Linked DNA regions of Arabidopsis thaliana. The protein of the gene in region 1 purifies or fractionates together with the protein of each later gene. This does not show direct contact. Each region holds a gene or a part of one and is shown in the gene's direction. Other genes may lie near its edges.

Evidence for each region. The genes of interacting proteins can lie anywhere in the genome.
Region 2: the proteins of AT1G32730 (region 1) and HTA7 fractionate together in Arabidopsis thaliana (co-fractionation; one large-scale study listed by BioGRID). This does not show direct contact.

Annotation. Positions count from the first base shown.
Region 1 is NC_003070.9:11,836,964-11,844,746, forward strand, and holds AT1G32730 (electron carrier/iron ion-binding protein), read left to right. Parts: upstream 1-3,946; 5' UTR 3,947-4,113; coding exon 4,114-4,235; intron 4,236-4,528; coding exon 4,529-4,590; intron 4,591-4,873; coding exon 4,874-4,961; intron 4,962-5,179; coding exon 5,180-5,282; intron 5,283-5,384; coding exon 5,385-5,993; 3' UTR 5,994-6,345; downstream 6,346-7,783.
Region 2 is NC_003076.8:9,789,917-9,795,560, reverse strand, and holds HTA7 (histone H2A 7), read left to right. Parts: upstream 1-2,000; 5' UTR 2,001-2,195; coding exon 2,196-2,411; intron 2,412-2,517; coding exon 2,518-2,754; 3' UTR 2,755-3,052; downstream 3,053-5,644. Other genes in the region: RECQSIM (RECQ helicase SIM), read left to right, coding at 31-130, 215-298, 378-465, 618-740, 819-911, 1,021-1,317; DEG14 (Trypsin family protein with PDZ domain-containing protein), read left to right, coding at 3,326-3,340, 3,425-3,527, 3,617-3,724, 3,829-4,014, 4,100-4,227, 4,399-4,610, 4,721-4,802, 4,900-5,042 and 3 more.

The DNA of each region.
Region 1 (7,783 bases):
TAAAGTACTTGTTTTTCATCGTCAGTTTGAAGATTAGATTAATTACATCATAAGAGTTTCTGATATAATTACGAGATAAAATCTCAATTCTCAAAAGTGACCAGACATATTTAGTTTGGTCGTTGTGTCTTGTGTGGAACTGGCCATAGTACCAAAAATAATGACAAATAACTTAATCATGTCTATAAATCCATATTTTGGTGTTAATCTAGATTCTGTCCGGACAAATTCTGCTGTTATGCAAGTCTCTGTTGAATCGTCAAAGTTTATTCTTCAACCCCAACACGCAAAGAGCAGGATTGATGTCCAGAGAATTGAATAAATAAGATTTCAGACATGGTGTTATAAGTTAAAAGGATATCAATTGAAACCTATAAAAAACTCCTAGCATAAGTTGAATGCACCAAAATCAAGATGGCAAACCCTATTTTTTTCTCTACCAAATTGACTACTACCTTGAAGCTTTGATATGACTCTCACAATTGGTATCAGAGCTTCTATTTAGAAGCTTTGATACCAATTGTTAGGTTTAGGTTCAAATCAAAGCTTCAAGGTACAAGTCAATAAACAAAATGATTTCTTCTTTTTATTTTCTAAAGAAGAGAAACTTTAGCAAAGACAATATGAAGAAGAATTGAGGAAGAAAGAGAACTGCAGGTAACCCTAAACTAATTTTATTGATCTTCATAACATGTCTATATATATGAGTCTACATCTTAGAATAAACCTAATTACTTGGAAAGGAAACATGGATTAATGGGCTTGTATTGACTTGTCATGTGTCACATAGTTGGGTTTCAACACTTTACATACACAACACACATGCAAAGCGGATCCACAAAAGATTATACATAAAACGGAACTCAAAGATATTTGGAAAAAATCTAGTCCTACTTGACAAGGACCGATTCTTACTCCTTTGCCAAAACAGGGAAAAAACACTTTTGGAAGAGATGGGAACGATTGCAACAACTTGAGAGATTATGTATGTTTACGGTCACCACTAAATCTTTCATAATATTTTATTGTTTCTCACTAAACTTTAGATTTTCTTTTTCACACAAAACTATTGATTAAGAAGTATTATTACTCGCATTAAATATTATACTTTAATTTTCTCATTTTTATTTTGTAAGATTATTCTTTCTCTATTTATTTATTTTCTGATATATTGTTAATTGTTGTAGTTTTTTCTTCTCACTGAAGGTTGAGAATGGGAGGAACAAAGAAAGTCTTGGACATTACCATTGTCAATTTGAAAAATTAGATTACCGCATAAGTCTCTGATATACAACCAAAAATATTTAGTTTGGTCGTTGCATGGACTGTCGATATTTCTAAAAAGTAAAAAACCAATGATAAGTCATCTCTACTCCATTTTTACTGTTAACCCAAATTTTGTCCTGACAAATCATGCGGTGTATATACATAGTTCTCGGGCTTCCAAGATTCTTGGAATCTACTTGATCTCTGTTGTATCGTCTAATCTACAGCATGCAAGGAAAAATATTGATTTGTGAAGAATCAAATAATGATGATTTCAAACATCAACATCAATAAAAAAGCAAACATACTTCTGGCTTTAAATTTTGAAAACTATAAATTCACATTTTACATAGAAATACTCCAAGATACTGTTCTCAAGATCCAACTAAGAACAATAAGTTAAAAAGGACTTCAAGGGAATTGACTTCTATATGCTTTTTTTTCTCTGCCAATTTATTAATACTTTGAAACTTTGATCTAAAACTAACATGTGGTATCAGAGCTTCTATATATATAGAAGCTTTAATACCCAATGTTAGGTCTAGATTGAAGCTACAAAGTACAAGTTCATTGGCAGAATTATTCATTGTGGCTATTAATCAATTTTAACATTTTTATATACACATCACTCTTGCCAACTAGATCCACAAAAGATCCTACAAAAAAGGAATTCAAATATATTTTGGAAAATCAAGTCCTTACTTGATAAGGACGATTCTTGCTCCTTTAATTTGTTAACAAGAAAAAGAAAAAATATCTCATATCTCGGATTAATACCTCACAAACCGACCGATTTATGTATTTCTGATTTGGTTTAAGTTCAGGTTCAATTTATAGAGAAGTTGGATTAAAAAATAACCAAGGCCTATGTATTAATGTTTTTTTTTGCAAGATTATGCGCTAGGTTGCATGGAAACTCGCTCCGAGGTGCGTTTCTCGTTTCCGAAACGTTTCGGAAACGGAAACTCTCCGGAAATACGAAAAACGTCACGGAAACGCGTTTCCTAAAAATCTAGGTTTAGAAACACGATGGAAACTTACGTTTCCAAAATAGAAACTCACGTTTCCGAAATAGACATACGACAAATCTTTTTTATTGACTTTAAAAATTTAATAACTAAAATTGAAAATATTAAAATTATTATTACATATAAATAATTTTGGAAGACTTTGAGTTTTAAGATCTTTCTTTTGTTAAACCAGATTTGAAAAGAGCTTTATATTATCTTTGATAAAACTAATGAAAATGTTGGTCTAAATTAACTATTTGAACTTGAACCTTTTAATTTTTATCTTTTAGAATTTTAGTTTATTTATTTAATATTGATATTTTGGACTTGTATTGTTTAAATCATTTTTTCTTTAATATAGTTTTATGTTAATGTTATATATATATATATAATGTTATATATATGTATAAATGTGTATACGTTTCCAAAACGTTTCCAATCCCTAATTTTAAGAAAAAATCGTTTCCCGTTTCCGAAACGTTTCGTATCCGCATTTCCGTTTCCGTTTTCATGCAACATAGATTATGCGAATGATTGCAATTTACAAGTAACAACTTGAGAGATGTACGTTCACTATGTCGCGAAGAATTGGTGAGGAAATCTTTCGTAATATTTTGTTATCCAATGGTATTTATCTCGATTGTAATCGTTAAATCATGAATGGATGGTTAAATATTTACCAAATAAATAAAAAGAAGAAGAATAATTAAAATTTATATATTGGTGAGCAAATATTATTATTCCGATTAAATTATACTTTTTAATTGTTGTTTTGTAAAATTGTTCAGTTCTGTTTTGTTTTGTAGTCTCTATTATCATCAGAGTTGTTTAGTTTGATCGTCGTGTGGACTCTTGACAGTCCTCATAGTCTACTAAATCTAAAACCAATGATAAATCAACTAATTAATTAAATAATCATGTCTATAAAGTATAAACTATATTTTTATGTGTTAACCCATCCAAATCTGCAAGTCCATACAAATTGACTCTAAATATATTGAAGCTGCAAAATCAGCCAAGTACAAAATTGACTCTAAGTATATTGAAGCTGCAAAATCAGCCAAGGTTACGCAATATAATCATATAGCGATCGATGCATCAGAATAATAAGTTAGAAAGCGATATCAATTGCAAAATAGTATAGAGTAGTATAAAAATATGAAAACACTCTGAAGTTGAATGCACCAAAATCTAAATGCATTGTTTTGTCTGCCAAATTGACTTCTATCTAGAAGCTTCTAGTGTGAAGCTCTGATACCACTTGTAACGTCCAAATCAAAGCTTCGAGTTACAAGTCAATTAGTAGAATGATTTATTGTTTTTGTTTCTTTTACTTATGAAAAGACTCTAAAGCAAAGCGAAGGAAGAGATGAGGAAGAAAAAGATTTGCCCAAACGGCAAACACTAAATTATTTAGATTGATGTTCTATTGTTCATATGAACAATAACGTCTATATATATGTGAATCTGATTCGATAGAATAACCTAATTACTTGGGCTTTTTTTGGGCTTATATTGATTTATCTGACAAGTCTGATCCCGGATAAAGTTCATGATTTGGTTAAGTTCGGTTCAATTTAAAGAGAAATTATATTGGGCTTTAAAACCCAGGCCCATATAAAAACGACTCACGTGGTATTATTAATAACCGGAGCCCTAGACCCGCCGTGAAATCGAGCGATTGAGAGCACTTCGCAAAATCAGAGCGACAAAAAAAAATAAAAACCAATCCTTTCGATTCCAAATTTTTTGTTACTCACTCGCACGAGTTTTATTTGGTCGTTAGTTATCTCTTTCGTTGAATAACGGTTTTAATTTAAACCGTTACTTTTTATCAATGGCGACTTCGTCACCGTCTCTGAGTAACAATGGTCTTTCCTCCGTCGTCACGCCTCCCAAAACTCTCCGTGGTCTCAATAAGCCTAAGTGTATTCAATGCGGCAATGTAGCTCGCTCCAGGTATTGCTTCTACGCATTGTTTCATCGAAGGACTTAGGTTTTTTACATCTGGGGTTTCGATTTATGGATTGTTCTTGGGTTTTTGATCTGAAAGGATTCGAATTTGTCTTGTATAGTACTTTTTCGTTTTGATTTAGGGTTCATAGGTTTGTGGGTTTGGGTTTTTATTCATGATTTGGTGATTAATCTGTTGGAGATTGTTTAAAGTTTTGAGCTTTAGTATCGAAAGATCAGTTTTTTGAGATTATTGGTGAAGTAATTGTAATTGTATTGCTTGGATTTGATAAATGCAGGTGCCCTTTTCAATCTTGTAAGGGTTGTTGTTCAAGAGCAGAGAATCCCTGCCCGATTCACGGTATGTTTGCCCTGTCAAATCTCAACTTCATAATTAGCTAAAGTGATCAGTTTTAGAGTTTAGTGTTGATAACTTTGATTGGAGAGTTCTATTCTTTCACTTGGTAAGTTTAGAGTTTAGTATTCTTGACTTCTATAGGGTTCGTTTGGTTGTCTCGGGACAAAAAAACCTATAAAGAACCATAAGACTGATTCTTGGAATGTGCTTGTGATTAGCTGAGAGATATAGAGATGTTATCATGGACTGTTTTGTGTTTCTTCTTATGTGTTTTATTTCGCTGCAGTTCTTAAAGTAGCTTCAACGTCTGGTGAGAAGACGCAGGCGCCAAGTACTCCATCTTCAGAGCAGAAAGCAACCGAGGGCACTCCCGGGTACATATATATAAACTAATTTTCTGTTTTGTTTGTGCTTCCATGGGCAAGTGAATCTTAGATGATAAACCGGTGTTTGCTTACTAATACTTTGATAGGAGATTCTTCAGCTTTCTTGTTTTATTGCACGTAGTTGATAGTGAGATGATATATTGGTCTTGTGGAACTAAAATATGGCGCTTTATGTTGACGTTTTCTTCTTTTGGAAATTGTTTCAGGAGTACCACTAGAGTTTCGTCAATCCGGCAACTTTCTAGCAACTTTGCTCAGTTTAATAACCTGAATGCTTCTTCCCGCCAGAGAAAACCTTTGACGATAAAGGTATACTAATTAAGACGTCTTTCATTGACTTTAGTACTCTATGAAAAATCTCCATTTAGTTGTTTTCCTCTTATCAGTTTTTGTTCTGTCTATATTCTATAGGATGCTCAAGCTTTAAACGAGTGGCGGTTTACAAAGCTAAAAGAGTACAGAGACAGAAACATTGAAGTAGAAAATGAAGCTTTTGATCGGTACATGAGTAATGTGAATTTACTCGAAGAAGCATTTTCATTTACATCTGTTCCTGATGAAGAGAGTCATGGAACAGCAGCTCCTGAGCAAAACAAAGAGGAAAATATTGTTTCAGAGCTTAAACTGAGGCTGAGATCGAACTCTGCAAGAACAGAGAGCTTTAAGAAGCGGATCGCGGAGACAGTCAAAGCCGGTTTGGTGAAGCTTAAGAGACTGGATTTAGGCAGTTCTTCAGATGATCAAGATGATATCAAAAGGCGGGTCAAAAGAAAGAAATGGGAAGAGAAAGGTTCAGCTTTGAATGAAATAATCGATAAACTGAACAAAGCAAGAACCGAAGAGGATCTCAAATCTTGCTTAGAGATGAAATCAAAGCTCTGTGGTCAAGTTTCTCCCACTGCTGCTTCCGAGAAGAACAAGATCTTTCCGGGTGTAGTCCGAAAAGTTGAGATGAGTGAAGAAGCACTTCAAAAAATCGCTGAGAATCTCCAATCTTTTGACAAAGTTGGAATGTTGTGAAGTCGAGAACATCCTGTGGATGAACTGAAAAGTTTGAGTGGCAAGAAAATTTCTAGATCCTTCGTGACCACGGTATTGTACAATGATCAAACATCCCTCAAAACTGATCCTGAAGACTCCAAAGACTCAAGAGATTCTTGTAAAGTAGTGTTGAGCATCATTTAGATATTAGAACTCAGCCATGGATAAAGCTGTTGATTCTATCTCATTGGATTTTTTTCACTGTGTGTTGTTGCTTTGTTAGATTTGAAATTGCTCATTGGATTACCTTTGACTTAATAAATAGTTGGTTTGGTTTGGTATTGGATAACCGCTCAGTCTAATTAGACCGGTTTGTTTTTTTGGAAAAAAATGAATCCATCCATCCATAGGCCACTTTCAACACGTATATTTGAAAACGACTAAAACCAAACTCTTAGATTCTAGTTTTGTTTTGCTGCCCCAATTCCACTATTGATCAAAACATATCCAAAAGTTTTTGTGGAACTAAAAAGTAAAAATAACGTTTAGTTTGTTTCCAATTTCAACCATATATATCTTATTCATATATGCATGTTGTGGTTGTCTCGTGTGTGTAGTATTCATTTACATTATGCAAACCAACTGGAAACATGTTGAATGGGTTATGGGTTGGTGGTTGGGACTTGAGGATCAAACAACTCAAATGAGCTCATTATAAGTTAAGCTCTCAATAATCATTAATTTATTTTTGTTACCACCTAATATTTCTACGAAGGGTTGGTGTAACAATTTTTAATTGTAAGATAATTGTGTAATCATTTTCAATATTAATTTTTATTATGTATTTATTTTAAAAAGTTATATAATACGTAACACATTTAGTACTTGGTTTTGGTAGCTTCATCAATGTACCATCCGAAGTTCCAAAAAATAAAAAAAAATGTCGATTTCACCGTTGGTGAAAAAGAAACTAAATTGATATGTATTATTCATTTTTTAGAAGAGATTATGGGTTTAAATCTGAAACTTCTTAGTTAAATTTTTAATTAATTTATTTATTTTGCATGCTTTATTATATATTTGAAATTAGAATCTACATGATTAATGATTTTTTTCTCAGATAGAATAAAAAATATATTTACTGATAAATTATTCTTTTACATCTTTCCGGATTCGCTACTAATGTGTTTTTGTTAACTTTAACCAGATTGCTTATGGATTATGATATATAGTATCCATTACTTAAAAAGTAAAAGAGATGAAAAACCAAGAATAATTAATGTCACCAAACTATCAACAACAACAAAAAGAGAGTGTAATATTCAAGATAAACGAATCCTATTATATAAAAAAAGGTGGGAAGAAGTTGCTGTCTAATGATGTAATTATGTTAACTAGTGTGCTAAGGAAAGAAATCAAGCAAGTCTCACACATACACATGTTATGACTTATGATTAGCGACAAGCATTTCATTTTATTTTATTTTTGCTAAGCAAACCTTTTGTTTAGTAAAATAGACAATGTGCAAAAAATTCCAAACTTCTTAAATTGAAAAAAATACTATATTTAAATTTACCTTTTTAAGTAAGAAATTAAAAGATTTTGTAGTACACTACATGTTTTAAAACAACCACTATCCAAACAAAAACTTGGTCACCGAATAAACTGTAGAAATATCGATTTCCGTCATTTAAATTCACTTTATTTTTGGTTGTTTTTTTCTTGGAATATGCAAGAGTAATGGCGTGGTTGAAGACACGAGAGAGAGAGAGAGAATCCTAAAGAAAAAGCCAAAGCATATTAAGAAGAAGAGAACCAAAACGAACAAA
Region 2 (5,644 bases), on another chromosome or scaffold:
CTGATGGAAGTAACTATCTGATATTTACAGTGCTCTATGCTGATCTATCGAGAGCACCAACGCTTTTGCCAAGCCGTAGGAGCAAAGAACAGACAGAGCAAGCATACAAGATGCTATCTGACTGTTTCAGGTCTCTATACTAGTCAGATACGTGGGAGTGCATATTCACTTATCGTTCTATATTCTTTTATATTCATTCTCCTTTCTTATGCAGATATGGAATGAACACTTCACAATGTCGGGCCAAAATACTTGTGGAGTACTTTGGGGAGGAATTTAGTTCCAAAAAGTGTAACTCGTAAGTCCTATCCTTTTATCTAAAACCCATCAAGTCAAACTACCAAATAGTTGTAAAACCTTTCCAATCTATGAAACAGATGTGATGTTTGCACTGAAGGGCCTCCGGAGCTAGTAGATGTACGAGAGGAAGCTAATCTTTTGTTTCAAGTAATCACTGCTTTTCATGTAAGCCATTTGATTAATCCCAGAACTTCATTTAAAAGTTTGCTTGTTTCGTATGAGTGATATACAATCAAACATATTTCTATTTAGTATTTGAGATTTCGTCTACTACTGTATAACCTTTCTTTCTGAAACTTAAGCCGCTAGTATATTAGTTGCAGGTAGACAATGACTCTGAGCATGCACCATATGAAGATTATGGACTCGGCAACAGCAAACAAAATAAATTATCCCACAAGCCAAATCTTCTGTTCTTCATCAGTAAACTCAGGGAACAGGTAAATCTTCTGTTTCAACAAATTACATAGTGCATTATGTTCTTGATGATATTAATGTGATGCCTTTGGTTAGTGTAGTGTGAAAAATTCAAGGAAACAGATTGTCTTTGGTGGAAAGGTCTTGCCCGTATCATGGAAGCCGAAGGATACATCAAAGAGATGGATAACAAGGTACACTAGTAACCAAAAAACCAACCTTTCTTATGATCCATTTATCGGTAAAGGCGTAAAGCTACGATCACATATTCGGTTAAAACCATGTTACTGATCTGTGTTGCAGGATCGTCGAGTTGAGATTAAATTCATACAACCAACAGAAAAAGGGAAGAAACAACTAGATTTCCAAGATGACAAACCACTCTATGTTTATCCAGAAGCCGACATGCTACTTTCGTTGAAACAAGATAGAACATACAGTGGATTCTCTGAATGGGGAAAAGGATGGGCAGATCCAGAGATCCGGCGCCAGCGGTTAGAGAGAAGAGAAAGAAAGCCTCGAAGAGAAAGGAAACCCCGAAAAAAACGAACACGAGGACGTTCTTCGACGAAGTTACATCCATGGAGAAGCAAAGAATAAGAATCTCAACCCTCTTTAAGTAATGAATCCACTTTATATTCTTTTACCAAACCCATTATTCCATTCATGGATCTTTATGGAAGCATAATACTTCTTTCTACAATTGCTATATCAGGCTCCTTCTTTGCTCTGAGTCCCATCTTGAGGCATAGATACCGCGCCATCGAGAAGCTGAGGCTTGTAAACGAGGCTTTGGTAACGGCGGAAGAGAACGTAACAAGGCTTCAAGAACGTCATGATGTGATTCTCAAAGAGATATGTTCTTATTATCTCGTTAACACCGAGCTCCATGAAGCTTTGGTTTCATCTCGTGCAGCCATTAATGATGCTTCTTCATTTGTCATGGAGCTTAGAAGATTACAGTTGAATATCTTAAACTCTCTTTCTTAATCACATTTTTTGTACTTATTACACTAATTAAAACCAGAGTTTGGGTAATAATTTTTGTTTCCTTAATTTTCCGAATTATCCGCTAATTTTCTACTCTAATTCTCTGGATATTTTAAATAATAGTAATAATCTGCTGTCAAAATAAGATAAGAAAAAGACATAAAGCTGATTATCTTGTAGAACGTGTGGGGAATGAATCTAACGGCTGATATCACTCAAGTGTTCTTTTCCACCTTCCTTTTACAACACCCACGTGTAATGTCATACAAAGAAGTCATTACGACCGTTAGATCAAAGCCAACAAGATCCAATCTTAACGGCTAAGATAAATTACTACACGGATCGCCAACGTGGCAATACGTGGTATATACATACACGTCGTTCTTTCCTCATTTTAAGCAAATCGTAAACCGCCACAAAACCGAAAAAAACACTAATTGTGCTTTCCCTTTAGATTCATTTGTATTTTCTTTTGGAGCTTTTGAACAATGGAGTCATCACAAGCAACGACGAAGCCAACGAGAGGAGCAGGAGGAAGGAAAGGTGGAGATAGGAAGAAGAGTGTTAGTAAATCTGTTAAAGCTGGTCTTCAATTTCCCGTTGGTCGTATCGCTCGTTACTTGAAGAAAGGTCGGTACGCTCTCCGATACGGTTCCGGTGCTCCGGTTTACCTCGCCGCCGTTCTCGAATACCTAGCCGCCGAGGTATATTCAATCTCAGATCTCGTTGCATTTTGAATCGATTTATTTTGTGTATCTATTAGATCTGTTTAATTTTGAAGTTCTAATGAATTGAACCGGTTTGGTTTAGGTACTTGAGCTAGCTGGGAACGCAGCGAGAGATAATAAGAAGAACAGGATAAACCCTAGGCATCTATGTTTAGCGATAAGGAACGATGAGGAATTGGGGAGATTGCTTCATGGAGTTACTATTGCTAGTGGTGGTGTTCTTCCAAACATTAATCCAGTTCTTCTTCCTAAGAAATCAACAGCTTCTTCTTCTCAAGCGGAGAAAGCTTCTGCTACCAAATCTCCTAAGAAGGCTTGATAAAGAATAGTATCGATGTTGCTTTTTGGTTATATTCGGATCTTAGATGAAGAAGAAGAAGAAGAAGAAACAACTTGTTTTTTGTTTTAGAGGATTTGTGTAGGTATCTGAAATCTTCTTCTCTTTGTTTTGGTTTGTCTTATGTAAAAACCATGGGAAGATGATTATGTTTGTTAACGCAATTTGTAATGGAAAATAATTAAGTTCTGGGATTAGTAACTTCATCTGTCTAATTAATTTCTGGGTTTCGTACTTGTTGATTTAAACAATTTAGGTGGATTAATTGAAATGGTTTTGGTATACACATGGAAAGATTCAGTACAGTTAATGACATTAATTAAAGTAGATAATAATCACGAAAAACATGACATTAATTAAGAAAATGATTGTTCAAATTGGGCTTTGTTTGGGCTTAGTTGATAGGCCCGTTAGAATTTATGTTCTTGGTTCATCTACGAGATTCTGGAAAAGGGGTTTTGGTTTTCCGGTGGGGTTTAGAATTTAAACAAGACGCGATTTCGAATTTCGTTCTTGTAGAATCAAATTGTTTGGTTTCAATCTTGGATTTGCGATGATGAATTTTCTGGTTCGATTCTTCTCTGCGATTGTTCAATTTCTTGTTTAATTTGGTTAAAATTTCACTGACTCATTTGTTTTTTTCTGGGTTTAGAGAAGAGCTGTATCATCTTCTAAAAGAAGCGAGCTTATTCGCATCATTTCTGTTGCTACTGCTACTTCTGGAATTTTATATGCTAGTACTAATCCAGATGCAAGTAAGTTACTATTACCAAGAACCATCTTCTTCATTATGCGTTGTATTTGTCTCTCTTGGTGTTGTGGTTTAATGTGATATGTATTCTAGGAACTCGAGTATCGCTTGCTATACCTGAATCTGTTCGAGAATCTTTGTCGTTACTGCCTTGGCAGATTTCACCGGGTTTGATTCATCGTCCTGAGCAAAGCTTATTCGGTTCGTAGCAAAATTTTCTGATATCTGAATATGATCAATGCCAAATTTACTCTAGAGGTGCAAGTTGCAACTTTGGAATGTCTGTTTCTGTGTATATGATATAGGAAATTTCGTGTTTTCTTCGAGAGTTAGTCCGAAATCAGAAGCACCTATAAATGATGAGAAGGGAGTTTCTGTTGAAGCTTCGGATAGTAGTTCGAAACCAAGTAATGGCTACTTAGGGAGAGATACTATAGCCAATGCGGCTGCTAGAATTGGACCAGCGGTTGTCAATCTTTCGGTTCCTCAGGGTTAGCTTCTTTCTTGTTTTTATCTTTCTTTTGATTTCACTTTAGAATTCACAGTGGTGGTTTGGTGATCTTGTGAATGTTGTAGGTTTCCATGGGATATCTATGGGGAAAAGTATCGGTTCTGGAACGATCATTGATGCTGATGGCACGATACTGACTTGCGCTCATGTTGTAGTTGATTTTCAGAACATTCGTCATTCTTCTAAAGGGAGGGTATGACTAAAACATCAAATATGTTTACTCATACAATCTTGCAAAGGATCTTGGAATAACTTTTGTCTTTGGAATACATATGGTTAATTATAAGATTGGTTTCTTCTACGGATTTATCTTTGATGGAATCTGTTTAGAACATATCTGAAGTTTAGAGTTGTTGAATTATAGGTAGATGTGACGTTGCAAGATGGTAGGACGTTTGAGGGTGTGGTGGTGAACGCTGATTTACAATCCGACATTGCATTAGTGAAGATAAAGTCAAAGACGCCATTGCCAACTGCTAAACTTGGTTTTTCGAGTAAGCTTCGTCCTGGAGACTGGGTAATAGCGGTAGGTTGTCCTCTGTCTCTCCAGAACACAGTAACTGCTGGTATTGTCAGGTAAAATAAACACATGTACTTGCAAAAGATTTATTCTATATATTTGATAAGTTCTTATAGTCAGAATTGTTGATTTTTTTCTTTCCGGTTTTGCTTTTTCTTGGTGCTAGTTGTGTTGATCGCAAAAGCAGTGATTTGGGTTTAGGAGGCAAACATAGAGAGTATCTCCAAACAGACTGCTCGATCAATGCGGTAACTTACATCTTTCTGTCTCTATGAATGGGAAAGTCATTACATATTGACTTGCAGATTTTGTGTTTTTGAGATCCTTGTGCTATATGTGTGTCAGGGAAACTCTGGTGGGCCTCTTGTAAATTTGGATGGGGAAGTGATTGGTGTTAATATCATGAAAGTTTTAGCTGCAGATGGTCTTGGATTTTCCGTGCCAATTGACTCGGTATCTAAAATCATCGAGCATTTCAAGAAGAGTGGGTATGCTAGTAATCTCAGTATAGTTTCATCATGTATCACATCTTAAAGGTTGGGAGGAGTTAAACAAAAGGTTATTGTTGCAGTAGAGTTATTCGGCCATGGATTGGGCTCAAAATGGTCGAACTCAATAACTTGATCGTTGCTCAGCTAAAAGAACGAGACCCAATGTTTCCTGATGTCGAAAGAGGCGTTCTTGTTCCTACGGTGAGTACCCATCGATCAAGAAGATCCAAAGAAAAAATGTATAATCCAAGTTTTGTCAAACTTTTGCATATTCACTTATATAGTTGCATGATCATTGTTTGGCAGGTGATTCCGGGATCACCGGCTGATCGAGCTGGCTTCAAACCAGGAGATGTTGTTGTGAGATTTGATGGGAAGCCGGTCGAGACCATCAAAGAGGCATGTGTCGTCTCTCTCCCTCTCTCTTTTTCTCACACTCTCTTTTTCTCACACTCTCTTTGTCTTCTTAGTGTTCGTGTGTGAATGAATTTTAATTGCAGGTGATAGAGATAATGGACGACAGAGTTGGGAAGAGGATGCAAGTAGTTGTGGAAAGATCAAATAAAGAAAGGGTCACACTAGAAGTCATTCCTGAGGAG